Astyanax mexicanus: one gene and its partners. Each later gene encodes a partner of the first gene's protein in a complex. Links are inferred from orthologs where the notes say so. Each region holds a gene or a part of one and is shown in the gene's direction. Other genes may lie near its edges.

Region 1 (7,925 bases):
TGCCACCTAGTGTTGATTTCCTTTGAATACAAGCAACAAAAAATATTTGAACATGTTTGAGCTCAGAGGTGGTAATTTGAATATACATATCACTGTCAGACAAAATACATGTATCTCCACAAAAGCAACTATATAGAAGTAAAAAAACTATCTTTGAGTCTGTCAATTTAAATAGATATAACTGCAAGAAACATTGAATATTTTGGTGCATTCATCATGACATTTTGAAAATCTTAAAACAATTGCCATATTCATATAATGCCATGAGTGAAGATACAAGGTTTTTGCAGAACATGAAAATATAGATATAGTCACATGTGGGGGGCACATGGAAAGAGGAGACAAAAAAAAGATTTTTAAATCTGCTCCATTAATTGAAAGTAAATCTTGCATGGATTTTTGTGTTCAACACATTCTCATATTCATACACATGCACTGTATATCAGTTTTATATTTTTTCCTTGGGAACCAAATAAATTATGCATAAAAATACTAACAAATCCAAAGGTCTTTGGGCACACTGCATTTATTCATCATCAGCTGTGTGTTTTATTGGTACTGCTAGATTTTTATATTTCTGCATGGTATTACATTGTTAACAATGTAAGCACAGCGCACACAACCACATACATTCTACAAAGTATTCATCTAGAGCAATTCCCTTTGGCAATTAATCAATGGGTCATGAGATCTTGAAAACCTGAATGTTGCTCTGACTCTACTTGGTGGCATTCCTGTTTATGGCCATTCTCACAAATCTTACACAAACAAAAAAAGTCAAGTTTGAATTGGCTACAGCTTGTTAAAACTGCAAACACCAAATAAATAAAACACTGAACTGAAATCGATAAGAAATTAGGACACTAGTTAATGTAACGGCTTCAGTGATTAGCAATCTGTTAAATCCCTACAATAATGAGAGAACAGAGGGCACAGGGCACAGTGTTTCTTATTGTATACCTGCAGATCACTGCTCAGTTACAATTACAAAAAAATGGCAAGAACTAAAACTATGGATTTTGACAATGGCAGCATTTTACAAAGCAGGATTTCTCAGAGGGCTTAGTTTGCTCATTTCCACTGGACAGCAGAAACTTTTGGCTTACTTTTATCCAACTGAAAAATCCTTCTTTGTGAAATAAAACCCTGGCAGTCTCGCAGCTACGTGACAAAAACAAATCAACAAAACAAAATCTGTATCACATACCTTTAGTAAATAGAACATGAAATGTGCCTAGGAAATTAGGGAAGATGAAATGTTTTCATGTTTGGGCATTTTTCCCCATATGTATATATGAATATGCAGCTTATATAAGTATTTCTAACGGTCGAATCATTGACTAAAATCACATTTGCATACCACTTAGCTACTTGCAGCAAACGGTCATGTCTCAACAGTGTGACTAAACCTGCTCAATCGGTTAATGCCAAGTTAATTTGAGGAATTCTGCTTTGTAAACATAACTATCATCTTTTTTGTGAGGTAGTGTTTCTAACAGTCATTAAGCAAGCCATGTCTGATTTCTTGGAGGACTAAAAGACAGAAGTCATGGGACAGAAAATGCAGAGGAAGTAGTACTGTACAGTTTGTTTTGTGATGCAGCCAATAGTAGGCAACAGGCCAGAGTGCAAACATGACCTAAGGCCACAGCAGCACATTTAGTACAGTAGCAGAGCACATCACTCCCACAACACAATCAATCAGTCATCAAGTGCACAGATGCTGGTAGTCTGAATATCAAACACACAGCACCACTAGCTCAAAGGCATGAAATCAGACATCCTCAATTCATGCTTCAACTTGAAGGTTTTTTTTGCATACTTAAATACTTGACACAAGCCAGAGAGATCTTCTAAGCAGCCAGTGTCAGAGCTGAAAAATCTCATCCTCTTTGTCTCTTAGTTTCTTGGTACGTTTGGTGATTGTGAGAGGTACAGCCCCCAGCACTGCCTGTTGACCTTGGAAAGAAGCACTGGAGACATGAGTGCTGGGAAGCTGTTTCATTGATGAAAACCTTGAAAAAAATGTAAAGAACTAAATTAAAGTTCAACTTCCATACCCATTAATAAGACATTTGCTTCCTAGATATGAATGATGGACTGCAGAATAATATTTTGCAGAAATAACAGTGAAAAATTAAATTATTGTAATTTTAGTCCTTATTTTATGTCACTGATATAATGCTATTATAATAGCATAACAATGTATGTAAACATAACTTTATATTTTAACAATATAAGATTATATACTAAAGCAATTACTGCAAATACTCACTGTTTATCTCCTTCTTGACATGTTTTCACAGCTGCTTGTTTAGACTGATTAATCAGACTATCCATCCTTTTCAAGTAGTCCGATGGAGAAAGATCTGAAGTCACTTCTTGGCTTTCACAGTCAGCTTGGCCGTTTCCAGCGGAAACCTGCTGAAGTGACTTTCTCTCTTCTTGATTTGACACTTCATTAAGTAGCTCATTCTCATTAGCAAAGGATATTGACTCCGTCAGTACTGGGATGAAGAGGACCTTCTTCAGGAATATTGAATCGTTGGTGTACAGTCTGTTTGCCCTTTTGATTTGTTCCATCTACAAGAGGTCAAAAACAGATGCATTTAAATAGGCACAAGCTACTTAAACACAGGTGTATGAAGCAGCACCCGGGTCTTAGTAATAATGTGAACAGTACGATTATTAAATATTTACATAGTAGATAATGTAAAAAGTGTTTGTATTAAGTTTGTCATGTTCTTTTAGTCCACTAGTTATTATATTTTAAGACCATTTTAAGAACAATACCTAGATTTAAATGATTGAGAAAAATATTGAGATACAGTGTTTATGCTAGAAGGTGACAATATTGGTAATGTACATTCTTAAAACTGCATTTCATTTTGACAATTTAGGAACTAGAATCTTTCTTTTACTTACTTACACCTAAATATTAGATTTGTTTAAATACAACTGCAATCTAAAATCTAATTCTTATTTACCCTCATGACCAAACTTTAATTTAAACACAAAGAATAAAAGATTTTGATTATGGCTTATTATTGCTTAGCTACAACACTCATGTATAAATCCCTGGCTCGTCATCGACAGTTTCAGCGATATTTTACTAGCAAATAAGATGTTCCCAGTCATTAGGGCATACTACAATGTAAAATTGTGAATTAAGGGATGGATTTAGCCTGCCTGTCTTGCCAATGCTACGCAAATAGTTACTTTTTTTTTGAATATGGATAAAAGCAATACTACGTTTTACAACTTTTAGAGTAGAGCACTTTTATAAACGCACTTACAGACACGCCATACTTCAGGGACAATCCTTGTAGAGTGTCTCCTGGTTGAACCTTGTGTTCAATGCGTTTCTGTCTGACTGGTGACAGGGACGAAGTCACCAGACTGCCATAAGACTTGGTGCGCTGACCGCGTAGGAGCCCGTGTGATCCAGTGAGTGAAGATGTCCGGTCCGAGGACATGACGACTTTACTAGTTTACTGAGGATGATGATGATGATGATGATGATGATGATCCGTTTGGGGCTGAGAATTTTAGTAAGCAAGACAATAGGATGGCTGCTACATCTCGAGTAATACTGTAGATAAATAGCTAGTTATAACGTTATAGCTTGGTTAGGTTCACTAGGTAATTCAGCAATAAACAGTATAGTAATGAAACAGCTCACTGCCAAACAAGTTTTCTTTTCCAGATTGGACAGTTTCTTGTCCAACAACATAGTTAGCTATAGAGTTCATCCATCTAAACAGAGATAACAAGCTAGCTAACGCGAACTAACTACGTAATTTCTACAACTTTAACGTTAGCTCCATCATCAGATAAAGTTACACTAACGTTAACTAGCTAGCTCCACTTTACTGCTGAATATAAACCTCTAGCCTTCAATACAAAGAGGTTAACCCACTTAGCTACAAAAATAGAAAAAACGAGATAGGGTTAACTTACATGATTTATGCTAGAGGGGGGAAACTGCATTTCATTTTGACAATTTAGCAACCAACGTTACAATCTCACTTTTACTCACTGTTTACACACATACATATTAGATTTTAACCCACAACTAGCTAACTAAATAAATAACTTACACTGTCTGTAGCTAGTTTAGGATAGCAAGTAACTTATTAGGATAGTAGCTAAGTTACACAATAACTTAACTTACCCGTGTTAACCGGCCCATCCTGTAGACCACAACATGACTAGCTAGCTCTTCAGTTAAAAAAAACTGCGTTAGCTATCTGCCCACTTTAGGAAACATTTTAGCTCCAGCGAAGTTAACTTAATGCGTACTGCCAAATCTAGCTAGCTCAACATTAACTTAAACTGCGTAGCAGGATATACGACAGATTAGACAGTTAGCTAGCTAGCTAACTAGCGTAGCTAGTAAAATACGACATACCGACTCACCACTACGCTACGAAAAAGTTAGTTAGCTTGCTTGCTAGCTACGAGATAACGGACTTACTTATTAAGTTAGCGTAGCTAAACGCGGCTCAGTCTCTAAAATAGTTAGGTAAAGTTACGGCTAGCTAGCTAGTTGTACCAGAGCACGGAGCCCAGACTGTGGTGTTGGCGGTGTGACCGCGCCGCTAATTATAGTGAGCTGCACTGTAGTTATGTGTCTGTAATGGACTAGCTTCCATTAGCCTAATGCGCTCGCTAAGCTAATCTGGCGTTGCCATGGTTCCGCCCAGCGAGTCCCACAATGAAAACAGGAAGTCAGGCAGTCGGTGTGAGTGAGAAGTCCGCAGCACCTCGGTTAGCTAAGATAAGCTTAGCTCACTAACTCACAGTTTAATAAAACAATATGTCCTTCAAAAGAGAAGGCGATGACCAGAGCCAGCTAAATGTCCTAAAGGTAACGTAAACAACCTTAAGCCCCGTATGCTTTAAAGAGAACCGTGAGATGCGGTAGATGCTTTAAACGATTTGTTTAAGTGCAGGTTTGGCTAGTAGCTAGCTAGCTTTAAAGTTTGTGAAAGCACACAAATCCTGGCTTTAGCATGTTTAATATATTTAATAATTTGTGCTTATAGAAACGGCGTGTTGCAGATTTACTCTCCAACTTCATACCCGAAGACGAGGCCACTCTGATGAAGAATGGAAGGTGGTGTATGAATAAATATGCAGGTTGTAGCTAGCGTTAGCAAACCTACCGGATGTAGAATCAGAGTTAGCTAGCGTAGCCACTAAAGTCCCTGCACGCTTCTGTCATTTTTGTATTAACTATTGCCTGAAGTGAATTGTGGGGTTTTAAAGCTATATTTTGCGTTTTTGAGTTGCCAAAAGCATTTTACATGTGTGGCAGTTTACATAGCAAGGATTATGCCTAGTCTTCGACCACACAACAATTTAAATTGAGATGTTCCATAGAAAGGAAACTTAAAATAATAGTCTACAATTAGACCTAAATTATCCCAGATATGGATTAGGTCACCTAATCCATATCTGGGATACTGCTTCTTAGTGATGTGGATTTCATTAAGAGTGAAATTTAGTCGTTTTTCACATTAGCGTTAATCATTGTTCCTGTTCAAGCAACGTTTGGTAGTTAGTGTGTGCAGAAATAGGTGCAATTTTGCTATGTGACCAAATACATGTTGAATTAGGTCTATATTATTTTAAACCAAATGACAAATTAATGTAATGTCTAATTTATTTAATCAATTAGTATATAAATATACTCCTTGAATGTGCTATGTGCTACAACAGCATTTTTCATCAGTGTTGTGTTTTTCCTGTTGTGCACATTGTTTCAGAAGCCATTGCCCAGCACAGCTTTAGATTATGGGTTTTACAAAAATACCTTTATTGTGGATTATTTTCCTTGAATTTCTGGCCTGCCACCAAGCAACTCCCACTGGGGCAAAATGAAGCTTTGTACTTATAATATTCATATGTCTACACTTTAAACAATATGTATGGTATATGTGGTTGATATACTCTTCAGATGAGTAAGATCATCTTTGTATATGTGTAGTAATTTATTGACATTCTTTTGGATTTGATAGGTATAGCTGTTTAGTCTGTTCACATCGTCCAGTGTTTGATACTGTGGATATGCTGAGTGTACACAGGAAAGGAAAGCGCCATCTTGAAGGTGGGAATTTGTGTTATTATTGAGTTGTCTTTAAAAAAGTATTGAGGACATTTACAGTGCTTTGTTGTGCTTTCTTTTAATTAAACTAAAATTAAACTTCTCACACATTATTCATTGCTGTTCAAACACCAAGAATAGTGGTTGGATTTTGCTTAATTTAGCTTCACAAGGTCTTGGTGGATTTTACCTTATGCATGAATTTAACTTAATGAAATAAGTGCATCTGGCATTGTCTTGTTGAAATGTGTATTTTGTTGTTTTTTCGTCAAGTCTGTATTAGATCACTGTTGGGTTCTTTTCTTTTCTTCTTGGGTCTTCTACTGTCTAGGTCTAAAATGGTTTTATGGCAAAAAATCGCGATTACAGAACGAAATTGATAAAAGGCGACATCAGGAATATGTTAATAAGGAAGACGACCAGCAGGTAAAAAATAGCATGTTTGTTCAACTTACAATAATGGTACCCACCTTTTGCAAAATGTACAGTGTTGTAGATAGAACCATTAGAATTTCATAAACCATGTTTATTGGTTTAGGAAGCTGGAAGCTCAGCACCTTTACTCACACAGACACGGAAAATTACCCACCATGCCTTACTAAGATCTTCTCCTTACAGCAGCTGCCATAAAAAGGCCAGGTAATGATAAATACATTTCTATTTTGATATTAGAAACTCATTGCTATTTTTTTATTGTATGTTGTATTTTACATGATTATTATGTCAATTTAATATTATGCAACTTACACAATATATGACACTACATTTGACATTATATCAGTCATAATAAATGATATATATATATGTACTGTGTCTATATCTATAAGGGCTGCACAATGTAAAAAAAAAAAAAAAAGGCATTACAATAGATTTTTTTTTTACAATATATATTGCAGTGTTAAAAATGTTGAAATTTTCAGTAGAACACCAAACAGATCCTTATTTTAACAACTCACTCCATATTTGGAGTAGGATATATAAGTGTGTTCAGATTCTTTTAACAATTATTTGTATAATGTATTTATTTATCATAATATAATGGTTTTTAATTGTTTTAAGTGAAAGATCAGAGAACGTTACATCAAAAAGCTGTCTTCCAGAGAGCTACATATCTACTGCAACAAGCAGCATAAACACAGAACACAAACCTGCTGGAGAAAGTAAGTTACTATTATTTTACTATTATTATACAACTGTTATTTAGTTTTTGTTTGTTTGCTTGCATTTCTAGGATGCATCAGATGTTATTTTGATGCAGATGTATGCAGTTTATTTATAGAATGACTTTATTGTCCCCTTAAGCAAATCCGGATCAGTGCCAGAGTGGAAAACAGATGAATAAAAAGAAGGGCTGTAAGGCTCCCAGTGTACCCGAGTCAGAACCTCTGACTGAGCAGAGGCGCAGAGAACTAGAACACTACCTCAAATTAAAGAGGTATGACATTGTTTAGCCATTTCAGCACAGAGTTTTTGGCAGCCCATAATGGCTTTACTATGTGAGTAGTCAAATGAATTTGGCCTCAATAGGCAATACTTTAAATGTTAAGATTAAAATGCTTAATTCTAATGTTAATATCTATACCAATACATTGGTATGGTGCATTATGTGTTGTACTTCTCTGAACATAACAGTTTACTAGAAGAATCAGAATAAATCATTCTTTTCTAGGAGCCACAGTGTCTCTTTTTTTTATTGCTTTTTCTTTCTTTCAGTGCCGGATGGTTGCAGGACCCAAGTGGTAAATGGGTAAAGGATGAAAATGTGGAGTTTGATTCAGATGAGGAAGAACCGCTCCCAATACCACCCTCTAGTGAA
Region 2 (8,616 bases), on another chromosome or scaffold:
GTTCAGCGTCAGAAGACTCAGTGCGCCTGACAGTCACAGTCTCAACCTGACCAGAAGAGGACGTGACGACCCTCATGCTCACCTAAAGAAAAAACAAACACACTGACAAAAGCGTCAAGCATATGGAGGACAAAAAAAACATACACAAGTATGAATAAATAAATTCACATATAAATGAATAACTGATTCACCAGCTGACCAATCCTGCTTTTCAACCCTGAAAGTCCGGACCCTGGTCTGAACCAAGGTTCATATGTGTTTGCTACATTGTATATATTTGGTCCGCTTATTTTTGTTTTCATACTGCAGTTTAGGGAGCGCAACAAAGACCTTTGTGTGATACTCCTACATCCTTTTATCATCACTTACGTATCGATGCGTTTTCCTTATTGGTTTTGGTTCATTCGGTGGAAAGCCTTTCCAGGATAAGGATAAAATGAATGAACAGATTCATTTCGTCTCCATAGTAGTGCTGCTATTGTGTTTTTATACCAGCAGCAGCAACTTCAGGGACAGTACTCTAGGTCAGTTCAAATTCGCCAAACGAACATGCTCGTCCTGAAGCAACTGTATCCACGGCTCATTTTTGCTGTTTTCCGGTTATTTTGAGAGGGTACTGACTGCAGCCTGCAGGAAGGCGGAGTTGGACGTCCAGTGCGTCCAGCTCCGCCCACTTTGTCAGCATCATGTCTAAGCTTCGCCTCTGAACGGAAGTAAACAATGTACAGGGCAGTTAGCGGACTTTAAATATAATGTGCCGCGTCGTCCGGCTTACTGTACGTTCACACCGAACGCGATAAAATCGCTCTGTGTCGCCTGTGCAACAGGCGATGAGTCGCTTGTGGACGTGTCTCACTCAGAACGAGCTGTCGCTGGTGGGCGTTTTCCTAATACGGCACGTACAGAAACAAGGGTTCAGCCAATCTACACAATTCCTAAACCATAAACAGTCGTACAGACGTTTCACAAACAATAAATCTTTATATATTTTATAACTATTATTAAGTACAATTATTTAACATAATTATTTCATATTACAATAAATGGGTTTACTTAAATATAATAAATTATTTTCCTTAATGTAGTAAATCATTCTCTTACAATATATTATATAATATAAATATATTTGTCCATAATTTAAAATATTGTTAACTTAATGTAATAAATAATTCCTTGGATGTAATTAATATGTTTACTTAAATATATTAAATAATCCTCTTGATTTAATAAACAGTCTTTCTCTTAATTTAATAAATAATTCCCTCAGTTTTAATAAATCTTTCTGTAAAATGTAATAAATAATTCTCTCAGTTTTAACTAAATCGTTCCAAATTCCATACCTCAGTTTGAATAAATCGTTACGTTAAATGTATTAAATACTTTCTTCAGTTGTAATAAATCGTTATGTTAACTTTAATAAATAATTCCCTTTGTTTCAATAAAAGGTTCTGTTAATTTAAAAAAAATATTCTTTAGTTGTCATAAATCTGTTAATTTAATAAATAATTTCCTCAGTTTTAATATATAGTTTTCTAAAAAAAGGTAATTCTGTAAGGATAGTACTATAGTGGGGTAGCTGCTGGTGTAGTGGAGTATTTTACCTCAGATCAGCTCAGTTCAGTTCTGTTCTCTCCGTTTTGCTGGCGGAATAAATCTTCAGTAGGAACCGAAAATCAGAGCAGCGATTTCAGGCCGAAATTCCTCTTGTTGAGAAACGCCTGCTCAGCTGCTCACGGAGCGGATGGCGCAAGGACAGCGGCGCCGACTCGCGGAACGGACGGCGCGATGATGGCGGCGCAAGCCTCCGGGATGGCGGGCTTCACGGCTCAACCCCGCCTTACCCTCTCCGACGGCAGCGCTGACTGAACAGCCTTCGAAGCTCAGCTTGAGATCGTGGCGGGCGGTGCGGGCTGGACGGACGCCGAGACGGCAGCCAACCTCTGCCTGGCGCTGCGGGGCGACGTGCTGAGGGTACTGATCGAGCTCCCCGCCGAGTGCCGCTGCGAGCTGCCCGAACTGACGCGGGCGCTGAGAACACGTTTCAGCCGCCAACCGTCAGAGGCGGCCGCCAAAATGCTAGTGGCGGACAGACGCCGACAGCAGGGAGAGACACTGGGCGTGCTGGCATCGGAGATGGCCCTGCTAACCCGCCAAACTTACCCAACGTTTCCGCGAGCGGCCCAGAGGAGGCTCGCGTTGGATCACTTTCTGCGCGCCCTCGAGCCGAGCGAGCTGCGCAAACACGTGAGGCTGGCCGACCCGCAGACCCTGGAGTCCGCGGTGGAGGTGGCGGAGCGGTCCGAACTCATCCTCTCAAGCCATCCTGGACCGTGGGGGGCGTCGCCGGTTGCCCGTGATTCGCAGAGGTGGGGTCGGAGCCAGTCTGATGCCCAACTGGAGTGCTGGCGCTGCGGGGGGCGTGGCCACACGCCCAGCCCATCAGGCTGAGGCCGCACCGTCTGGCGTTAGCAAAGCGCGTAGCGGCGGAGCAGTTAGTCCGCGAGATGGCGAGTACGGGCATTATTGAGCCTTCGAGCAGCCCGTGGTCGTCCCCGGTGGTCCTTGCGAAAAAGAAGGATGGAAATTGGCGCTTTTGCGTGGATTATCGGCGACTTAACGCTGTCACGAAGCTTGACTCCTACCCGCTCCCCAGGATCGACGATACGCTGGACCAGCTGTCTGGCTCAGCCTGGTTCAGCTCGTTAGACCTGAGGAGTGGATATTGGCAGGTGCCCCTCGCGGCGGGGGATAGGGAGAAAACCGCTTTCTCGCTCGGCTCAGCCCTATGGCATTTCACGGTGCTTCCATTCGGATTGTGTAACTCGCCGGCTACTTTTGAGCGTCTTATGGAGCGTGTTTTATGTGGGGTTCCGCGGTCGTGCTGCGTCGTTTATTTGGATGATGTCTTGGCGCACGGAACCGACTTTGTCCGACGGCGTGCTGTGCCATACCTGGGAGGATCCGGCGAACGGGCGGCGCGTTTTTCAGGTGGTGGTACCACGGGCGCTTAGGGGATCGGTCCTACGGGGAGTTCATGGGTCACCTGGGGCTGGGCACTTTGGTGTCACCAAGACTCTGAAGCGCCTGAGGCAACGCTTCTATTGGCCTGGGTGTAGAACCGACGTGGAACTCTTCGTGCACTGCTGTGACGTGTGCGCTGCCAAGAAGGGCCCCTCGAGGGCGCCCCGCGCCCCACTTCACCCTTACCAGTGCGGCAGCCCGATGGAGCGGGTGGCCGTGGACGTGCTGGGCCCCTTTCCGGTGACGGACTCTGGAAATCGCTTTGTTCTGGTGGTGATGGACTATTTCACGTAGTGGTCAGAGGCCTACGCGGTGCCGGACCAAGGGGCGGTCACTACTGCGGATATCCTGGTGCGGGAGTTCTTTTGCAGATTCGGGGTTCCGGAAGAACTGCACAGCGACCAGGGGAGAAATTTCGAGTCGGAGGTCATGGCGGAGGTCTGCCGCATCCTGGGAATCCATAAGACCAGGACGACGCCCCTTCATCTGCAGAGTGACGGACTGGTGGAACGTTTTAACCGCACGCTGGCGGCGCAGTTGGCCATGGTGTCGGACAAGAACCAGCGTGACTAGGACAGGCACCTGCCGGTAGTGCTGCTGGCCTGTCGCTCCGCTGTGCAGGAGATGACGGGATTCACGCCGGCTCTGCTTATGTTCGGGCGCGAACTGAGGACGCCGGTCTCCCTGGCTTTTGGGGCGCCTCCTGACGGGGGCGGGTACGCTTCGGACACGCCCACTTTTGTCTCGGACCTTATGTCTTCGCTGGAATTAGCAAACCGTCTAGCGCGCTCCAACCAGTCTGCTGCCGGACAGAAGCAGAAGCGTGTGTACGACACGCGCTGCTTTGGGGACCCGTTGGCGGTGGGGGCGAGGGTTTGGCTATATAACCCTCAGCGGAAGAAGGGACTGTGCCCGAAGCTCCAGTCGGCCTGGGTGGGTCCATGCTTGGTGCTGTCCAGGCTGGGGGAGTTGGTGTATAAGATCCGGTGGGGCAGACGCACTATGATTGTGCACCGTGATAGGCTGGCCCCCTATAGGCCGAGACTGTCGGACACTGTGGATGGTGGTGCGGAACCTGCCGGCCTTGCACTCGTGCCTGACCTGAACTCTGGCTCTTCGGAGCCGCTGGCAGGCGGTGCCGTGCCCGGCCCCTCCAGGCCGCCGCGGGCACGGAGGCCGCCCGCCCGCCTTAATGACTTTGTTTGCGACTGATTGTAAAAAAATAAAAATAAAAAATAAAAAAATGTTCTGTTGTACGCGGGGTTTGTGTTGGGTTGGTGGGGTCGCCGGGACGGCTGACCCTTGGGAGGGGGGCTATGTGGCGGCTCTGGGTTGTGTGTGTGGCTGCCTGCAGGCATGTTCTGTTCTCCTGTGTGTGAGGATGACAGGGGTGGGGCATCTCCCTTGGGAGGGGTTATGCAGAGAGGGTGGGCACCACTCTGGATCTGCCATCTGGGAGACACACAGCTGTGTTGGTGGCCTTTGGGCTGTTTGAGCTCTGTGGGTATGGTTTTAGCTCTCCTAGTCTTGTTAAAGACTGTAAGTGAGTGGCAAGCCAGTTCAATAAAGGAGCTGTTGAGCATTCAGCATGAGTCTCACGGGTCTTCCTTCCTCTTCCACGCCACAATACAAAGGTAAAAATAAACAAATAAATGAAGAAATGTGAGATTAAATAAATACACATATAAATAAATGTGGAAGTAAATAATTAAATAAATAAATAAATGCAGAAACAGCCCCAAATAAATGTTCATGCATGGGAATATGAAAATAGATCCCTGATATAATTTAAAGTGTGTACTTTTTATGACAAAACGTATTTAGTAATTTATCTACACAAAAAATTATGCGTGCATTTATTTTATCCTTTCTCCCTCAGCTCTGTTTGTTTATATACAGCGTTCATTCGGACATTGCAGTGTTTTTGTGCGGTGTTCTGTCGAATTGTGCTACGTGTCGAAATGTGCTTCTTAACACCAGTGCGCATGCGCGGAAATTTTATGTGAGCACCAAATTTATGTGAGCAACAAAACCTCTGATTAACCATTAAATGGATCCTGATATAACTATTGATTTAGGCGTTTCAAATCCTACCGAGAGTATTTACAATTCTTACGTTTAAATATACACTGGGGTAGCACTGTTTGAGAGGGTAGCACAACTCGACCTAAAAGCGAAATGTCCTGCACATTTGGTTGTACTATATTCTCCTATAGTTCTCTGAGCTAAAAAATGTCGTTTTGTCAGGAAAAATAAATAGTAAAAAGATAATTCAACAGAAAGAAAGTCACTCACCCAAAAGAGCAAAGAAATGTACACAATCTGAGTAAATTAATCCAAACTAACCAGTTCAAAACCACTTTAGCGCTGGGCGTCCTGTTGTCATGGCAACCATGCGTCATGACGTATGCACGTTTCCGTCTTACGTTGGACGTCCGTTTTGTAGACGAACGTAATGGCGGAAGCCCTGGCCATGGTGGAAGAGTGTTAGCCAGTTAGCTGAAGCTCTCTGTGTTTATATATTTACAGCCTGGTCTTCTCTCAGAGTTCTTGTAGTTTTGTGGTGTCAGGTATTCTGCAGATATGGCGTCCACCGCTGCTGGGAAACAGAGAATACCCAAAGTGGCCAAGGTGAGTTTTAGTGTCTGTTAGTAGTAAACCTGCTGGTTAGCTAAATAAGCTAGGATAAGCTAACGTTGCTAACGGACGTGTACCAATTGGAGGGTCTGCGCACTGCACACTCGCACACTAACTAGAAAACAAAAGTGGGAAAGGACCAGTTGTAAGCTGGTAGTTAACGTTAGCTGGCTATTTCACCGGAGCTAAATATGCTAAACACTCTCGTACACACATACCGTTAAGTAGCTTGGGAACAACGACGTGAGCTGAACTGAAATAAGCTAGATTAAGTCAGTTGTTTAACGTACTAGCCGCTGAAGTGCAGCGAAACATTCTTCTTCACTTCTACACACTTGATAAGTATCCTACTTAGAACTCAAATAGGCGAATTGGAGCACAGCCCTAAGTTTGCCGTTGAGTGTGGTCTGTAGTTAGCTAAGCTAGCTAGCTAATCAAATTGTCACAATAACACAATAACTTTAAGCTCTTATTTGAGCCATTATCATAAGTTTATCATTAGTATGTATTCATTGTCCAGCAAATCTATCTTTCACTGGCTGCAGAATGTAGCAGCTAGTTAGGTTTTGGAGTATGTTTTCCCCAGACTCGAAACTAGCTTGCTTCTGTATAAATGAAGATAGGAATTGAACCTCCAGTAATAGGAGCCCCACCATGTGTTGATATCTACCTGGAACAAATAAGTATTAAACTTTTAACACTAGAGTATAAAACTATAGAAAAAAACATATACTGCAAGTAGAGCTTCACAATATATCGACATTTTAGTGTATCGTGAATAAGTGTTCGTATCGTATGGAAAATCTGAGTTTCTGCATGCGTAGATTAAATAATACATAATAATATAAATACATTTTTTATTTTATAGGTAATTTCAGATAAGGCATACATAGATAAATATTTTTGGCATGACAAACTGCAAGGTACAACACTGTACCGCTGGTGGAATCTAACTGTATAATAGTGTGTAGTTAAAAATAGTAGTTAATGAATTAAGTTACACACATACAGCGCTTTTTCAGACACCAACGAAACACTTCATGTTTTGAACTGGAAACTCCATCCAGATAGGGCCTTAATTCCAAAACCCCAGTGCTGGGAGATGAACATGGTAACCACTAAGCCAAAGTGCAGATGAAATAATAGTGATGGCATATCTGTATGGACACCATTCAAAGTGAGAAAAAATGTTTTTGATAAGTAATTGTAATTGTGGTTGTGTAGCTTATCTACTCTAAAATATAATGCAGAGTGTTTTATCCTGTTCAGTTTTTGAGTATGGCATTTTACCTGACTATATAAAGTAGTGTGTTTTAAATTTAAACTCATAAAAAAATATATATATAGTACAATATTCAATTTTGTCGTTTTTAATAGATAAATAATTAATAAATGGGATATTATGTGTTAAGTTTTAGCAGTATGTCATAACATTGGTGGCTTAATTAACCATTTTTTTGCTCCCACAGGTGAAAAATAAAGCCCCAGCAGAGGTGCAGATAACTGCTGAGCAGCTTCTGAGAGAAGCCAAGGAGAGAGAACTCGAGCTTCTTCCTCCACCACCCAAACAGAAGATCACTGATGAAGAAGAGTTAAATGACTACAAGTTACGAAAACGCAAGGTAAGAGAACGTGCTTCATGTTAAAATCTAACAATCTGTTTTAACAAAGTCATTGATTTTACCTTCCTGTTTAAACCATCACCAATATTCTTATCACCTCAAAAGGGATTTGAAGACCATATCAGAAAGAACAGGACTGTCATAAGCAACTGGATAAAGTACGCACAATGGGAGGAGAGTCTGAAAGAAATCCAGAGGTATTATCATTAATCATTCTGTTAGACTCATATTTAAATGCATGTTTTTTATGTTCAAGAACATGAAAATAAACCTTTTGTTTCTGTCATTCATGTTTAAAGAGCTCGCTCTATTTACGAGCGAGCGCTGGATGTAGATCACCGCAATGTCACACTGTGGCTGAAGTATGCCGAAATGGAGATGAAGAGTCGCCAGGTCAACCATGCTCGCAACATCTGGGACCGAGCCATAACCATCCTGCCAAGAGTCAACCAGTTCTGGTAATAACACTTCTGTTGTCCAATTTTTTGACAGAGAAACATTTGCTACAGGAAGACTGAAAACATTTATTCTAAACTGGCTTCAATTTACATGTAGTGAGCTTTGGTGTGAATGAATTTACAGGTACAAATACAGCTACATGGAGGAGATGCTGGGGAACGTAGCCGGCTGCAGGCAGGTGTTTGAACGCTGGATGGAGTGGGAGCCAGAAGAACAGGCCTGGCACTCGTACATCAACTTCGAGCTGCGCTACAAGGAGGTGGACAAAGCCCGCACCATCTACGAGAGATATATCCTTTTATATATTTTAGCTTTTAGATATTTTATTGTAGCATGGTGTGCAATAGTTGCCTGATCTTTAATGAGTTTTGCAGTTTGCTGAGTTATGTGATTGCATTGATCACCCAATGTTGGCTATAGTAAAATTACAGAATAAGTTATGGTATTTTTGTTTTTCAAATTGTTTTGGTCATTATTTATCATTAATTAAAAAAAAGTAAAGAATGATGTGTAATGAAGAACAGGATAAAATTCACTTTATTTTTTTTTTTAATTTGCAGTAAGGTTTAGAGGTTTATTTTTCAAACCTTTATTTTTTATTTATTTATTTTTTAAATTTGAAATTAAATGAAATGAAATCATCTGTGTTACACTATGTACCATTTGGCTACAGCTACATTCTTGTTATTATGTTCTTTTACTCTGTTTTTCACTAGTATTCCGTTTAATTTAACTTGTTCTGTGAGTGTTAAATGTGTACCTGATTGTGGGCTCTCATAGCAAACTGATTACATTCTTTAACTCCACTGCACTTGTGATCGTTCATCCTGAAATAAAGAACTGGATCAAATACGCTCGTTTTGAGGATAAGCATGGC
Region 3 (7,947 bases), on another chromosome or scaffold:
GAAAACAGGGTTTGTCAAAAACACAAGTATTGCCTTTTTATGTGCTATTCATGTTAAACTGGGTTCAGTACCCAGGTTTAGCAAGCTGCCACTGATGTGCCCTGTGTATGTTCACTACACACATGGCGGAGGCTAAATTCCAACTGTGCCCAGCACATTTATGTATGTATATATATATATATATATGTATATATATACATATATATATATATATATATACATATATATATATATATATGTATATATATATATATATATATGTATATATATACATATATATATATATATGTATATATATATATATATATATATACATATGTTTATGACAAATTTGTCTTAAAACACCTCAAGTCTTCTCAAATACCAAAACACTTTCAAGAATCAATCTTGCCTATTCACAACCACTTCATCTTTCAATTATCGGCCATCAACAAAACACTAAACATTTCAGATCATCTGGTTTCCATTGCTACAACTTTTAAACAAATGAGAGTTGCACATCAGACGACTCTGATTAACCTTCTTAACATCTTTACCAATTTAGTTATGCTAAGATTTTGATAAATTAGTGGAAATTGTTTCTGCGGATCCCAGCTAGTATTTAAATATCAAAATATAGAATTTTGTATAATACGAATGTGTTTGTTTGTGCTATTTTTGGCCACTTTGTGCATTCATTATTTTTTTTTAAACATTGGATAGTGTTTTAAAAAGTTAATGTTAAATAAGAGGTTTAAAAGGTTGTATTGTTAGAAAAATGAATCACTAAATATCATCTCAACAGGTTTTATCAAAATTATTATTATTTTTTTTTAAAAGAGCTATTCAGATTATTTACATCAATAAATTATTATTAAACCCAATCGCAGAATTTATTTGCTTTTCAATGGAAAATCAATGAGAATCTGTCCCAAAAAGTTTTGCCTAAATCTATTTTGAAAGTAGGTGTTTAGTCAATCCTAAAAATGTGTTATTCACTACCTTTCAGCAGAGGGCAGTGTAGACATTTCTTTAAATTTCCTTTCTCAACATGTTCATTCCATTGCCATAACAGCTGACATGTTTCACATAACAAGCAGAAACAAAGACACATTTGTTCTATTTATCACACAGCTTTTTTAAATTTCTCACATTTGTTTCAAAGAAACTATCACGCTGGCTTATAACAGTACAGTCATGTGCCTTTTCACTGGACAACACAAGACTGCACAGACAGGAAGTGACATGCCTTACTGCAAAAGCACAGAGATTAAAATCTGCGCCTCACTATCAACAGAACAAGCATAATGACTTCCACAGAGAACACTGGGTGTGTTGTGTGCTGGTTAACAGCAATTATTCCCTGCATGTCAACTGATATTAATAGGTGTTTAATACGTTTATTGCTAAGTGTTGCAGTACAACGCTACACAATAAAACACATTTCACATAAAGAGTTGATTTCTTTATTTTAAAAACATACAAACATTTCCATTTTCTCACTAATGTGAACATTTACATTCATCTTTCACTGAAAATGTTCAGCTTTTGCTCAAAACACTTTCATGTATATTTTAGATTTTTACTTGTAGATATTCTTACAGAAATTAAATGTAAGCAGTATTCTGATTTTGTACACTGTAATCCCATTATTGGGCAGATAATAGGCAGAGGAAATGCACTTCAAAAGAAGCATTCATCATGGAACACACTATAACACTTATCTTTATTGTGAGTTAATGTTTTACACTGAGAGAGAAAATGCATCTTATTTAAGCTTATATATTAAACAAATTAGGAACTCACATAACCAACAGTAATACAGTTTGTTTTTGTTCGCCTGTCTTGGGAATCTTCAGATCTTCAATCCTGTGATTACACTTCAGTAGTGAGGAGGTGTCCAGAGTCAAATTGAGCTTCCAGTCCACAGAAAATTGAAGGTCCTTCTGTTGACTTCTTTTTTTATTCCTAATTCACCATTTTTCTTTATAGCTGTCATAAATTTTTCAGTTCATCACAAAACTTAAACTCCTAACCCCCGTCAGTGTCACTCTGATTACCTTTGCCTGGAGGTGTGTGATAAGCTCACCTGTCCCCAGCACTTTTCTTTGACTCCAGCTCTTCCATTTGTTTCTGTCTTCTTTCTAACACTTCTAAAAGTTTGGCATCAGTGCGAGCTCGCTCCTGCTCCCGAATTTCTGCCAGGTCTTCAAAGAACAAATGCCTTCAGAAAAAAGGTGAGGATTAGTCCAAAGCAGTTTCTTAATTCTGGTCCTGGATGCAACATGCCCTTTACATTTCCCAGTTGTAATATACCAACTGCTTGTTAATTTACTGATGGACAGTGGTGTCCAAAGTACACAAATCACATACTCTAGTTAAAGTACAGGTACCCAAAGTAAAAGTAAAAGTCCTAATTTTCTCTGCTTGAGTAAAAGTACACAAGTATTTGCCTTTAAATGTTCTTAAATGTTAAAAGGAACCGTATGATGATCTATTATGGCTCTATTGTACTGTTACTGTTTGTCTAACAATTGGTATCTGCAGGTATTGGCAAATACAATGTAAGACTTTTTAATACCACTAAGAAACAACATCTAAACCACTTTTGTACCAAATGATTAAAGCACACTACACCTTCAATTTCAATCAAACATAAACTAACAGGTTTACAAAATGAAAATAAGAGATATCCAACTGATTTTTTGTTAAATTTACACTATGCCTACAGTACTCTCAAATTAGAAACATTTTAAGACCAATTAGCAAAATAAATTGAAAAACCTTTCAATTTCAATTTCAGTTTTAAGGATCTACAAATACCCTGTAACAAGGCTCTAATGTAAAAGACCCTACTGTCACTTTTGGTTCACCCATCGTTTATCAGAAAGTCTGTCACTGATGTCTATTAAATTATTACAATTATTTTATGAAAAGGATGATACATAAAAGTACTTTAGTACAGCAATTAATTAAATTTATTTTGTTACCATCACTAGTTGCAGAAGGGAATCAAGCAATAAATTTGCAGGGCAAGGCCAAGTTTAAGAAACACTGGTCCAAAGGTTGCAGAAACAACAATTTGGTAGTTATGGGTCACACATGGTTCAATAACATAATATAACAATAACTGAAGAGGCATGGCTCTTCTAAAAGCAAAAAAAAATCCAGCTCAATGTTCTTTTCTGTGTGACCAACTGGTTTTGAGTTCGTTTTTAAATGTTATAATATAAATACACTTTACCATACCTTTAAATAAGACATATAGGTATTGGAATTGTAAGAGCTACTTTACAGAATTGCATACTAATTGTTTATGTTAGAAGTAACCGCAATGAAGAACTATGTAGAATGTGTAGTTCTCTATAAATTTAAAATAATGTTTAAAAACAGGATGGTGAACACATATATTTAACTGATGAATGAACTGTTTATAGAGCTTTGGAAAAAATATATGAGAATAACCACTTCAAAATTATGAGTTTCTTTGATTTTACCAAACGGAACACCTCTGGAATATAATCAAGGGGAAGATGGATGATCCCAAGCCATCAAACCAAGCTCTAGGAGTGGAATAAAGTTATCCAAAGCAGTGTGTAAGACTGGTGGAGGAGAACATGCCAAGATGAAAACTGAGATTAAAAACCAGGGTTATTCCACCAAATATTGATTTATGAACTCTTTAATCTTTATGAATATAAACTTTGCATTATTTGAGGTCTGAAAGCTCTGCATCTTTTTTGATATTTCATCAATTTCTCATTTTCTGTAAATAAATGCTCTAAATTACAATATTTTTATTTGGAATTTGGGAGAAATGTCCGTAGTTTATAGAATAAAACAACAATGTTCATTTAATTCAAAATGTACTCAAACATAGTCTAAAGCCTATTCCTATACAGTCTGTATTGATTTGTTTAAATGCAAGTTATTTTTCTTTATTTTCTATTTTAACCCTTATGTATGTGTGTATATGTTTTGCACAACCAAAATAAACTAAACTAAGCTAAACTAACAACTAAACTACATGCATTTAGTATTTTGGTAGATTTATAATGATAATAATAACAACAACAACTTCAGAAAAGGAATATAATAATAATAAATACAGAAGGACTACAAATTGATTAACTACATGATTTACAGATGTTTATAATACATTTCTGAGAACAGTAATAGACAGTGTGAGGTATAATAATAATACAGATAATACAGGTGTGGCTGCATGACTTTAACATTTAAGCTATTTATTTAACTTACCTGTTATAGAACGCTGTTGCAAGTCCTGTGAGTAAAGCGCCGAACAGCAGCGGCTTGGCCAGACGCTTTTTTGCTGATAAAGTGTACTGCTTCATGCTGGAATATAAAGCTGGAATATCCATAAAGAGAAAAGAGAGAGAAAACAGTGAATAAAGCTGTTAAATAATAAACTGTATTTTCTGCATAGACTCAGAGCTCTGACCTCCAGACATGCACCAAAACACGTAACGTTAGCTACACGCCCCCACTTCCTCCGGCCAGCAGTTTATAAAGCGTGATTCTCAAATATCTACTTGGATTTTTCATTTACTGCCACTTTAATATACATTTAAAAATTATAATAAAAGTACAATAACCCAAATTAATCGTTGTAGCCTCGAGTGAAACGTAAAAGTAGGTTTCAAAATATTTACGACAAAGTCAATGTTTGAGAGGAACTACAAAACATTGCTGAATTATCCAGGGGGAAGATCCAGAGAGGTGAACCCCGGCTCAGTCTCAAATGGCGCAGTGATCCCTATCTAGTGCACCTATCTAGAAACGTTTAAATGAGAAAGCCATTCAATACACTCTCAGATAGTGCACTAGAGAACCAGTCGCGTCCTATTTGGGACTGAAGCAAAGAAACATGGCGTGTTACTTGTGACTGCTAGCTTGGTTGACTAGCCAGCTAATATTTAGCAATCTGTATTAAATCACAATGATATAGTTATCTAGAGACATCATATTTAACTACATCCACCCAGCAAGTCCTCCGCTAAGTAGCTAAGCTAGTTAACTAGAGTTTTTAAGCGTGTTTTCTTTTTCTAAAGTAGCCTAGTAGTAGTGAATTTGCTTGCAATCTAATGTTTATTAGGTAAGTGTCATGTTTTTTTTTTTTTTGCCTTTTACCCTACTAAGGTCCCTTAATGTTAAATAATTAGCAATATCTTCATTTCAAAGTAATTAAATGAAGCAATGTTTTGTTAAATGGGGTTATATAATAATAATAATAATTATTATTATTATTATTTATGTACATATTTATATTATATATTGTTGTAGAAAAGAAAATGTGAGGTGGGCTACCCCCACCTCTCGTCCAGGGTACAACTCCCTGCGTGTTCGTTTGATAGAGAGAGTCAGACAGTGGAGTGAAGTTGAAAGCAAACCAAGTATTTATTACAAACTGAATATTCAGGAGAACTAACACATGAAAGACCGTCTAACAGCCACCCAGCATAAGTTCTGACCCCCCTCCTGATCTGACTCCACGTTTATACCCCAAAATGACGTAAGCCTGTTGATGAGGCGTTACTAACGATTAGCTCATGTTAATATGCATAATTTCACGTGTTAGTACTCAAGTTTCACGTGTCTGACCGGACCACTAATGTTTGACCTTGACTGTATTCTTCCATCCTGGCACTATCTGTGTGTGTGCGTCACCCCCCGCTTTGAAGTAGAGGTTTTTTAGGGAGGCACTCACTCATCCAAAGGCTGCTTTGATCTAATAGCCTTTTTTGTAGCAATTTAGCCCCGTACCAGCCGAATTAATGACCGTTAGTTAGGGTCCTGCAGTAAACAAAATACTTCAAGCCTGAGCTACATCTCATATGTTATATGTTAATGTGGGTTAATCTGTCATATAATAGAGTCTGTGTTAGTCACATGCCTGATCAAACAATGTTTTACTATATATGTAAAGAATATACTGTGATTATTGGATAATCTTTTATATAAATGCGTGTAAAATACACTGTGAGTAAAAATGATCAAATATAATGTGAGTATTGGTTAATGCATATAAAATACAAGGTTTCACACGATGATTATGTAATTTTAGATACTAAGATAAGTAATCATGATTGTGAGATATGTGTCAATACATTCAAGGTAAAACAGGGTTTCTTCGTAAGATTTCCCACAATTCCCCCTTTCGACGTATCAAACAGATACGTCGACAAACCGTAATTCCTCCAATCATGTATTTACATATGTTCAACCCTTGATCAACATGTGAGTGAACATTTTACTAACGGTGGGAGCGAAAACCTGTTCTGGCAGCCTTCCAACCAATTTTTGACAGGAAAAATTCTCCCACGGTCCCTCTGCCACCAGGCGACCAACAATTCGAACTCTATCAAAGGAGGAAGTGACATCATTGCAATAAAGTCATCCCCAAGACTGGTTGGTTTCCAGCATTTCCTCCAGCTCTTCCTCACACTCCAGTATAGGTCGGTTTATCTGTAGCTCTAACTTTGATCCATCCCACAGGGTCATTACCACTTACATCCACCCGGACCCCTATGAAAAATGATTTTTCCCCATTAGGATCAGATTGCCACTCTAATGCAATGGTTATCAGATTATTTATCGGACCATTATCCCTTTGTATGTTAATACTATTCCAGTTCTCCCGCTCACGAGTCGCCCAGCGTTCGCTTGGATCCCAATTAACATGCATTGACCTAATTACGGTTTCCCACTTGTTACAAGGTCTGGCCTTGTAAGCTGTTTGGTCGGTGTTATGAGTGATTCTCATGAAGCTGCAGGGAACATGTCCATGACAATTTTTTTTTAAATCAGTACTTAATTCACAAAAACTCCGATATTGTGTGTAAAGCAAATAGGTAGTACTGTATGGATCAATTGTTCATATAAAATTATTTTTATATAAATTAAATAAAAAATATATGGAAATTCACATTACCGTTATGTGTCCGTACCCCTTCTTTCTAATTTTAAGTTAAACCATATTAAAAGTACTAAGCATATCGAATCAATAAAATAGATTAAAGTCATTTAAAATATCACCATTTATACATAATATAAATATTTTTGGTGTTGAACAAAAAATGTACTTGATTTTAAACAAAATAACGGTGTCCGAACAATTTTTCTCATTACCGTTTCATGATTTTACCCCCTTAAAAAAATTACACTGTGCCTTGAAATTGATCAGCTATCCCATGATGCATCACGTCAGAGACAAGCTTCAAAATGGAGATAAGATCAGTTGGTCACTATTCTCTCCCTTTGAGAAATCTGTGTTAATATTACTAAAACTGTCCTCAATTACACTGTGTATTATCATTACCGTTATGGTTTAATACTCATTACTTTTAAAAATATAAAAATAAATTATTTCATGAATATTATCACAATATAAGGCTTTTACAGCTGGCAAAGTTATAGGTTGTTAGCATATTAGCATTTTAAGTTATGTGTGAAATTAGCCAAGAGCATCTCATTACCATTTAATTGTGTTCTCATTACCGTTATGGATCTAAAATGTTAATTTCTCAAAAGTTTCACATCTTATCATAACTTTTCTTCATTTTACTATAGTATACCCCTCACCTGTTGTCCCCATGAGTTTTTGATCAAACATATTCTAAAATAATTTTCATTAATTAAAAAATTAAAAGATATTTTACAAATGTTGTATCGGTAATGAGAGTTGCTTAACTATAAATAAATAAATAAAAAGATCAAAGTAAGTGTCAAGGACTGTGCTGTTAAGTTGATGGGATTTTGTTGTGGAACTATTAATCAAAAATTAATCATCAAAAAATGTTTTGAACCGGTTGATCTAGCTTCGTCATTTACTGTAACGGTAATGAGAATTATTCTGGATCATATAAGATTCAAATGATAATAAAATTCTATTTTAGCTTCTCAACTTGAAAAAAAAATAATGTTGCAATGAGGTGAAAAACTTTCTTA
Region 4 (7,910 bases), on another chromosome or scaffold:
ACTCTACTCACTCTCCTATATATACAACAGTACTGATCAGACAGATCCTAAAGTCCAGCACTCACCCATCCCTACTGAACACTCGTATCCACGCCTGCACGTTCGGCCCGAGGACACACAGACACCTCAGTGTGGTGAAAGTAGAGAGCAGCACAGCCAGTGAAAACGTCTCCAGCGCTGACCTTTACAATTACATAACAAGGACAACACAGCAGTGTGTTAAATATATGTAACTATTATATCACAATATTTAATTAACAATAAACTTAAGGATACAGGACAAAAAAAATCAGTTTAAAGCAGATGAATCTAGGGATGTTAGCAAGGACTCTGTCTTTACTCTTTAATTACAATAAATATATTACAATATTTCGCCTCCTTACGACTCAGGAATACTACTGAATCTGCTTTCAATTAATTAAAAAAATCTTAAGGACTGCTGTTTAAATACACACTTTTCTTCAAAATGTGCTGTACTTCTTATTGAACAGCACTAATTACATCTACATTTAGTTTAGTTAGTCTTAGTTAATGTTATTCAAGCATTAATAAAAAAACAAATTGATATGCTTAGAGAATAAATTTACATTTACATTTAGGGTATTTAGCAGACGCCCTGATCTAGAGTGACTTACAAAAGTGCTTTGTTGTTTACTTCAAAATATCCATAGATAGTTCGTAGAGACAAGGATCAGGAGATACAGCAAGCTTTGATAATGTTTAGAACTCTAGCAGAATTTTATTGTATATGTATATAAAAAAATGATCAAATCAAATTAAATCAAATGTATTATTTGTATAGGGCTTTTTACAACTGATGTCATCACAAAGCAGCTTTCCAGAAATGTGATCACAGGACAGAGTATCAGGCAGAGTATCAGCTTTTAAATAAAATATATACAGCTCTGGAAAAAATTAAGAGACCACTTTAGTTTCTGAATCAGTTTCTCTGATTTTGCTATTTATAGGTTTATGTTTGAGTAAAATGAACATTGTTGTTTTATTCTATAAACTACAGACAACATTTCTCCCAAATTTCAAATAAAAATATGGTCATTCAGAGGATGTATTTGCATTAAATGAGAAATGGCTGAAATGCCAAAAAAAAAGCAGAGCTTTCAGACCTCAAATAATGCGAAAAAAAAAAAAAGTTCATATTCATAAAGTTCAGAAATCAATATTTGGTGGAATAACCCTGGTTTTTAATCACAGTTTTCATCATGCATCTTGGCATCATGTTCTCCTCCACCAGTCTTACACACTGCTTTTGGATAAATGTATGCCTTTACTCCTGGTGCAAAAATTCAAGCAGTTCAGTTTGGTTTGATGGCTTGTGATCACCCATCTTCCTCTTGATTTATATTCCATGGGTTTTCAATTTGGTAAAATCAAAGAAACTTATAATTTTTAAGTGGTCTCTTATTTTTTCCACAGATGTATATATTATATTATGTTTAATATAATTAATCCCAATAACAAATGTAACTATACACAATAAAATAATGCCATATTGCCCAGCTCAACTAAATGCATGGGAAAATATGATACGGAACATCTTATGTAAACTCTAACAGCCTGAGGTCTATGTTTTGGTTTAACAGCCTAATTTACATACTGCGATCTACACAACAAAAGCCTTATTTACACATAATACTCACTCCAGCAGCGGCGCTCCGTACAGAACAATCACCGTGTGGAAGAAGAGACACGACAGCAGCAAATACACACAGGATCTGATCAGCTTAGACAACTGAAGTAATAAAAAAAGAAGAAAAGAAATGTTATAAATAAAGTATCAGATCAACATATCATCCAATGAGTTGTGTGGATTATTTATTTATTATTTAATTTACTACCTTATAACTCAGTGTGTTCTTCTTTGTTGGTGGACTGATGCCCAGAAGCCAAAACACTGCGATGTTGACCACAGCAACAGAGCCAGCAACAGAATACAGCCAGATTAGGTGCGTCCCGTACACGGAGAACTTCTCCACCAGAACGGCCGGCATCACTGTGGCCATAAAGATGGAGGCGGCGATGATGGCGTGGGCCGAAGCCATCCCCCTGATCTCCACGTCCCACATTATTCAGGATATTCTTATTGAGCTATGTAAAAAGAAAAAAAGCATAAATTCAAAAGTGTTATTGATTAAAATGCACAAAATGTGTTTTATTATACAAGTTACAGAATTTGGAAATCCGCAGTAGGGGTGGGCAATATTGCCCTAAACTAATATCAACATTTAAATTTTCTTAGCGAATATAACAAAAGATTTAAAAAGAAAAAAAAACATTTTATCTGTTTCGTAAACAGTAACTTACCAAAACCTTGATTTCGTGTCAAACATTAATACTACCACAATTGTGCAGCATTTTAGTGCATGTATATAAACAAATAATTACAAGTAAATTCAGTAAATAGCAAAACAAATTTAAAAAAAGTCAAAAATATTGCTATCCCAATACAGTGTTTTTTATAGTCTTAAAATAGTTAGAAATATTAATCCACAAATATGGCACAACTGATGCTCTCAAACACAGTAAGAGGCAAATAATTAAAGTAATTAACTCTTGATGAGTTCAGTACAGCTGTTAACTGAAAGCCTGAATTCCAGGTGACTCTACCTCATAAAACTGACTAAGAAAATCCAGCCAAGATATTCAAAGCTGTCATCTAAGCAAGAGGAGCTACTTTGAAAAATCTAAAATAGGAAACATATTCTGGTTTATTTGACTCTTTTTGTTTACTACATATTTACATATGTTTTTCTTCATAGGTTAAGTGACTTTAATATTAATCTAAAATGCAGACATTTTTAAATAAAGAAAAACTACTCAATTTAAGGTATGTCCAAAATGTCCACTTCTACTGTATGTATACAAATTAAATTAAATTAATATTAAACATATTGTGACACAGGTACATGGGTAATTTAATGGCTTTAATATTGCTAAATAAAAAGGTGCAATTAAAGAACGCAATAAATAAGTTGTACAAAAACATTTTAAAACGGTGTGCGGTATGTATACAGTAAACGTGATGTATAATTTATACATACATACATACATAATACATACATTTAAAATATTAAAATCATCAATAAATAAAATAAAATTCAAACTTGCTCTTAGTATCGAACATTGATGCAGAAATGAACATAGAAACCTAATAATTGTAACACTATACTGTACGAACCAATATGAATCAGAAGAATACACAATGGTTCGTACAAAAAGACACAGTAATTAATAAATAAGCTGTAAAATATATAATATTAAATTAAAATATTATGCATACAGTGGAATTAGATTAGATAACCCAGATGTAGGAACAGCAGTCAGTACTTACTGATACAGGTTTTCTCCAGACTTCTGCTCTTCTGAGGCTCGCTGTGTTTTTATTACTGCATTTGATAAAACTAACCTAAAACTAACATCAACGTAGAACATGAAATATTAAACTATGAGCTTTAGTTTAATGGTTCAGGATGTTTCTATAGAGAGGAACGACATGACCGACTGAATTAACTACAGCGAATATCCGGCAACACCGAGCAGTCTATCAGCGGGACACAACAAGGTTAAAGCCCCACTCTGTCAAAATAAAAGTCTCAAATATTCTCATTATATTCTGTAATAGTTTACTATTATAATGTTCTACTAATTCAATAAATATTTATTTTTAATATTATAATGATAATAATTCATATTTACTGTATACGTCTAACATTATAACGACAATTACGATTAATGTACATTTTAAGCATTATAATGATAATTAAATTGCCTAAAAAGCATGTTTCTAATAAAATAATAACAAAAAATATTACTGTCTGTTTTTAACATTACACTGACAAATAAGATTACTAAAAATCATGTATGTTCTTTCTTGAATTGTATTGAATATTAATTATAATACTATCACTTTAAACATCTGATTTGGCAGCGTATTTATTTTATGAAACCAACGTGCACACAACAATAGTGCTATATAATATATCGAAAATTCACAAATATACACAGTTTAAAAAAAAAACAATTACATTTTTAAATTTGTCACATATTTCAATGAATAGTGTAGATGTAATTTGCCGTTTTATAAATAAATAAGCATGTAAATAATTAAAAGAAGAAAAAATATATAATATTAAATAAAATGAGAAAATATTAAGGATTTTAATTAAAATTAACGAAATCAAATTAGTAATTTTTAAGAATAGTATAAATATAATTTGATCTGTAAAAAATAATAACAAAAAAATAAAATAAATATAAATTTAATTTGTTATCGTTCTTCTGTGAACGTTAAGCTGGGACTTTTATTGTAAAGTTAAGGACTTTTATTGTAAAGTAAACGGTTGCTGTATTCTGGAGCTGCGCAGTGTGAGCAGTTACAGCTGCTGTTTACGGGTTTTAGATTGAGGATTGTGTTTAACGGCAGCAGGATGGTCTGTGATAAATGTGAGTAGTTTTATATATGTAATAAGACCGTATATTAATTATAATTCAGTAATTTAAGGTGATTAAATCGGTGAATTTCGGGTTACAGCTGAAAGTGTCCCGTTGTTTCCTGGTGTTGTTTAGACTGTTAGCTAGAGTTAGTGTTAGCATTCCGGCCCAGATAACCCTTCACTGTTATAACCTGCGTTTACTGTAATAATTTTAGTTTACCTAGTCAAATAAACGGTTCATCTTCTTAAATTACTTACCTACACATCATATTTCACTATATATACAGATAAACTGTTTAGTGAAACTTATATTAGCTTTAGTTTAACTGTAAACACTAAACACAACACAATATAAATTATTTAGTCTGTTTTGGGTGCCCTTCTTTCTGTTATCTAATCTAGCGTAGTTTAACTTAGCATAGCCAGTTTATATAATAAATTAATTATTATATATATATATATATATATATATATATATATATATATATATATATATATATATATATATATATATATATTATATAGATGTATCACACACAGTGATCTATTTTAAGCGTTTATTTCTTTTATTGTTCATGATTATGGCTTACAACCAATAAAAACCTCAAAATCAGTGTCTCAGAAGATTAGAATATTACATAACTAGTGCAGAAAATGAAATCTGCATCTCCATCAAAGTTGTCAGCAGAGGGAAGCATGAAGTGCTGTAAGAATTTAGACTTGATAATAAAACACAGTGGATCAACACCAGCAGATGACATGTCTCTCCAAACCATCACTGATTGGTGGAAACTTCACACTAGACCTTAATCAGCTTTGAGACTGTGTGACTCTCCACTCTTTCTCCAGATTCTGCTCTCTTGATTTACAAATGAAATGTAAAATTTACTGATGATCAGTGATGGTTTGGAGGGACATGTCATCTGCTGCTGTTGATCCACTGTGTTCTATGAAGTCTAAAATCAGTGCAACTTTTGTAGAGAGGTTTTAATTTTCTTATTATTCGTTTTCTTCCCAGGTGAGAAGAAGCTTGGTAAGGTTATCACTCCAGATACCTGGAAGGATGGTGCACGAAATACAACAGGTACAGCCTGCTTAATAAAACATTATTCAAAATGTTATTTTTTTTATTCTCTGCTTATAGTTAATACATTAGTAGATCTTTGACAAGTAAAAACAGCCACAATATAACTAATATGTTTGTTTACAGAGAGTGGTGGACGGAAACTTAATGAAAATAAAATGCTGACCTCAAAAAAAGCCAGGTATGACTATTACTTTTATTTTTATTATGTCTAATTTATTAGTTTATTTATTTGATTACTAATTTAAACCATTGATTACATTAAAGTAAGCATTTGCTTGTATTTCCTCTGTTAGGTTTGATCCCTATGGAAAGTCTGGTTTCGCCACCTGCAGAATATGTAAAAGCTCTGTCCACCAGGCTGGATCTCATTACTGCCAGGGATGTGCTTACAAGAAAGGTAAGTTTAGGAGCAACATGTCACTGAATGTTTCAGACATGCTAAGTGGAGTAGGGATATTTAATTATTTTTGTTGATTACAGTTAGGCCTGTCACGATAACAATGTTTTGTGAATGATATGTTGGCCCAGAAACTATTGCGATAAACGATATTGTTGGCATTTTAAGACCATTAAATGGCACTTATATAATAACATAATATCATAACAAAGGAATTACACCCTTTTAAAGACTATACACATTGCGAAGTGTTCAGGCAGGGGAAGCGTAGGTCCCACCCCACACTATGATGTGCAGCCTCAGTTTGTCCCAGCTGGCCCACATTGGACCGGCATTAAGATCCTGCCTGAGAGATATGCTGATGGTGAGAGGAAGGCTGAGGCAACATGAACCTAAGAAACACTAAAGTCAAGTGACTACAGCCGCACTGGGCCGTTACTATATGTTTCTTCATGTTGGTTTGGGTGTTGATGGAGGGCATTTTTCCTAATGAAGGTACGTTTTGAGTTCATCCACTCCCTGTGTCTGTGACTCTCTGTGCTTCCGCAGTACCCCGCGTCACGGTGTCACAATATATGTGCATTTCGTAAGTGCAAACAATATGGACGATATAACGATTATTAAATTGACTAAGGCCATGTATATTTATTGAACGATAAGTCGATAATGTAATTACTGTGACAGGCCTAATTACAGTCAATATTATACATACATTCTTTTTATTGATTTTACTATACATTTCTGCCTTAAACCTTAATACTAGTTTCTCAAGTGTAGAGAAAGAGAGGGAGAGAGACTGCACAAGTGAGCGAGAGACAGACAGACAGAGCAAGGTAGACAGCGCAAAGGAGAGCAAGCGAGAGGGAGAGACAGCGCAAGTGCCTAAGACATTTCAGCACAGTGGCGGTGTGTGGACAATTTGAAAGATCTGCATTTCTCTCCGCTCTGCATTTGGTGCGTTTATGAGTGTTTCATTCAAAATGATCAAGAACAGACCTTTTTTTTTTTTTTAAACCATTTGATTCTTGGTAGTACCAAGACATTTTGGTCGGTGCCTTTTTGGCATCGAATTTCAACACCCAATCGTAGTTTACATGAGGTTACATGTTTTCTGTGAGGTTTTATTCCCATCTGAAATGGCGTATGTTTTTTTTTTTCGTCTGTCCTTTCTATGAAAATTTTAGGTAGAATTATCTGCAGATTTTTTCACAGAAGTGTCATTTTGCAAACCACTGCAATAAATCATAAGGCTGTGATTGTTTGTGTAAACAATGTTTTTATTTGTTACAGGGATCTGTGCCATGTGCGGGAAGAAGGTTCTGGACACCAAGAACTACAAACAGACCTCAGTGTGATTGGAATTCTGTTTCATAGACAGACAGTTCATAATGTTGGGAGAGGTGAGGGAGGGAATTATAGCAGTGATTAAGATTTTTTAACTCAGAACTTCTATTCGCTACCTATTCTCAGTTTGTTAAATTAGTGAAGTAAGAGGAGTTCACCGGTTGGTGGTGTTAAATGTGTGATAGCATATTGGTGCAGTAGTTAATAGCTGTATCAGTGCTGATATCCCTCCCTCTGTAGAACACTTTAAAGCAATATATGGGCTTGCACTGTTTAAATGAATTTAGATGCCTTCCACGAGTGAAGTGGTGGAGTATTTGTTTTGTGTGCCACTTATTAAATATTTTAAATGTAAAAAAACATCTATTTTGACCTCCCTCTTACTTCTCTTTCTTTGTAAATACACCATGTTGCCAGGCAAGACCTTCTAGACTGTTCAGTAGTGGATGTTCTTTGCTAAAACTGGTATCTTGATTTTTGCTGACAAGGCCAAGTCCAATCTGAGGTCTCAAAATGACATTTAAATACCATCCGTTCCCCGAGGCGGTTCTTTCTTCTTCATTCAGGACTCACAGGGCATTTTCTCTCTCTGTTCTGTTTTCTGTTGTAAGTATCATTGCATAATAAGTGA

What was found.
Region 2: scnm1 (region 1) and crnkl1 share a complex: the UniProt entries of both Homo sapiens proteins name them as parts of the minor spliceosome. The link is inferred for Astyanax mexicanus from reciprocal best matches to the Homo sapiens genes SCNM1 and CRNKL1.
Region 3: scnm1 (region 1) and armc7 share a complex: the UniProt entries of both Homo sapiens proteins name them as parts of the minor spliceosome. The link is inferred for Astyanax mexicanus from reciprocal best matches to the Homo sapiens genes SCNM1 and ARMC7.
Region 4: scnm1 (region 1) and cript share a complex: the UniProt entries of both Homo sapiens proteins name them as parts of the minor spliceosome. The link is inferred for Astyanax mexicanus from reciprocal best matches to the Homo sapiens genes SCNM1 and CRIPT.

What each region holds. Positions count from the first base shown.
Region 1 is NC_064413.1:39,899,008-39,906,932, forward strand, and holds the start of scnm1 (sodium channel modifier 1), read left to right. Parts: upstream 1-4,701; 5' UTR 4,702-4,819; coding exon 4,820-4,870; intron 4,871-5,048; coding exon 5,049-5,119; intron 5,120-6,023; coding exon 6,024-6,112; intron 6,113-6,440; coding exon 6,441-6,535; intron 6,536-6,647; coding exon 6,648-6,748; intron 6,749-7,168; coding exon 7,169-7,269; intron 7,270-7,411; coding exon 7,412-7,544; intron 7,545-7,822; coding exon 7,823-7,925. Other genes in the region: lysmd1 (lysM and putative peptidoglycan-binding domain-containing protein 1), read right to left, coding at 1,868-2,015, 2,276-2,583, 3,297-3,476. UniProt on the Homo sapiens protein: As a component of the minor spliceosome, involved in the splicing of U12-type introns in pre-mRNAs. Plays a role in the regulation of primary cilia length and Hedgehog signaling.
Region 2 is NC_064408.1:84,184,172-84,192,787, forward strand, and holds the start of crnkl1 (crooked neck-like protein 1), read left to right. Parts: upstream 1-5,471; 5' UTR 5,472-5,604; coding exon 5,605-5,652; intron 5,653-7,127; coding exon 7,128-7,280; intron 7,281-7,385; coding exon 7,386-7,477; intron 7,478-7,579; coding exon 7,580-7,738; intron 7,739-7,862; coding exon 7,863-8,029; intron 8,030-8,551; coding exon 8,552-8,616. Other genes in the region: cfap61 (cilia- and flagella-associated protein 61), read right to left, coding at 1-76. UniProt on the Homo sapiens protein: Involved in pre-mRNA splicing process. As a component of the minor spliceosome, involved in the splicing of U12-type introns in pre-mRNAs.
Region 3 is NC_064422.1:33,672,905-33,680,851, reverse strand, and holds the start of armc7 (armadillo repeat-containing protein 7), read left to right. Parts: upstream 1-4,846; 5' UTR 4,847-5,095; intron 5,096-7,947. UniProt on the Homo sapiens protein: As a component of the minor spliceosome, involved in the splicing of U12-type introns in pre-mRNAs.
Region 4 is NC_064422.1:39,625,279-39,633,188, reverse strand, and holds the start of cript (cysteine-rich PDZ-binding protein), read left to right. Parts: upstream 1-4,329; 5' UTR 4,330-4,445; coding exon 4,446-4,461; intron 4,462-5,469; coding exon 5,470-5,535; intron 5,536-5,661; coding exon 5,662-5,716; intron 5,717-5,831; coding exon 5,832-5,935; intron 5,936-7,225; coding exon 7,226-7,290; 3' UTR 7,291-7,910. Other genes in the region: pigf (phosphatidylinositol-glycan biosynthesis class F protein), read right to left, coding at 66-182, 1,659-1,750, 1,857-2,084. UniProt on the Homo sapiens protein: As a component of the minor spliceosome, involved in the splicing of U12-type introns in pre-mRNAs. Involved in the cytoskeletal anchoring of DLG4 in excitatory synapses.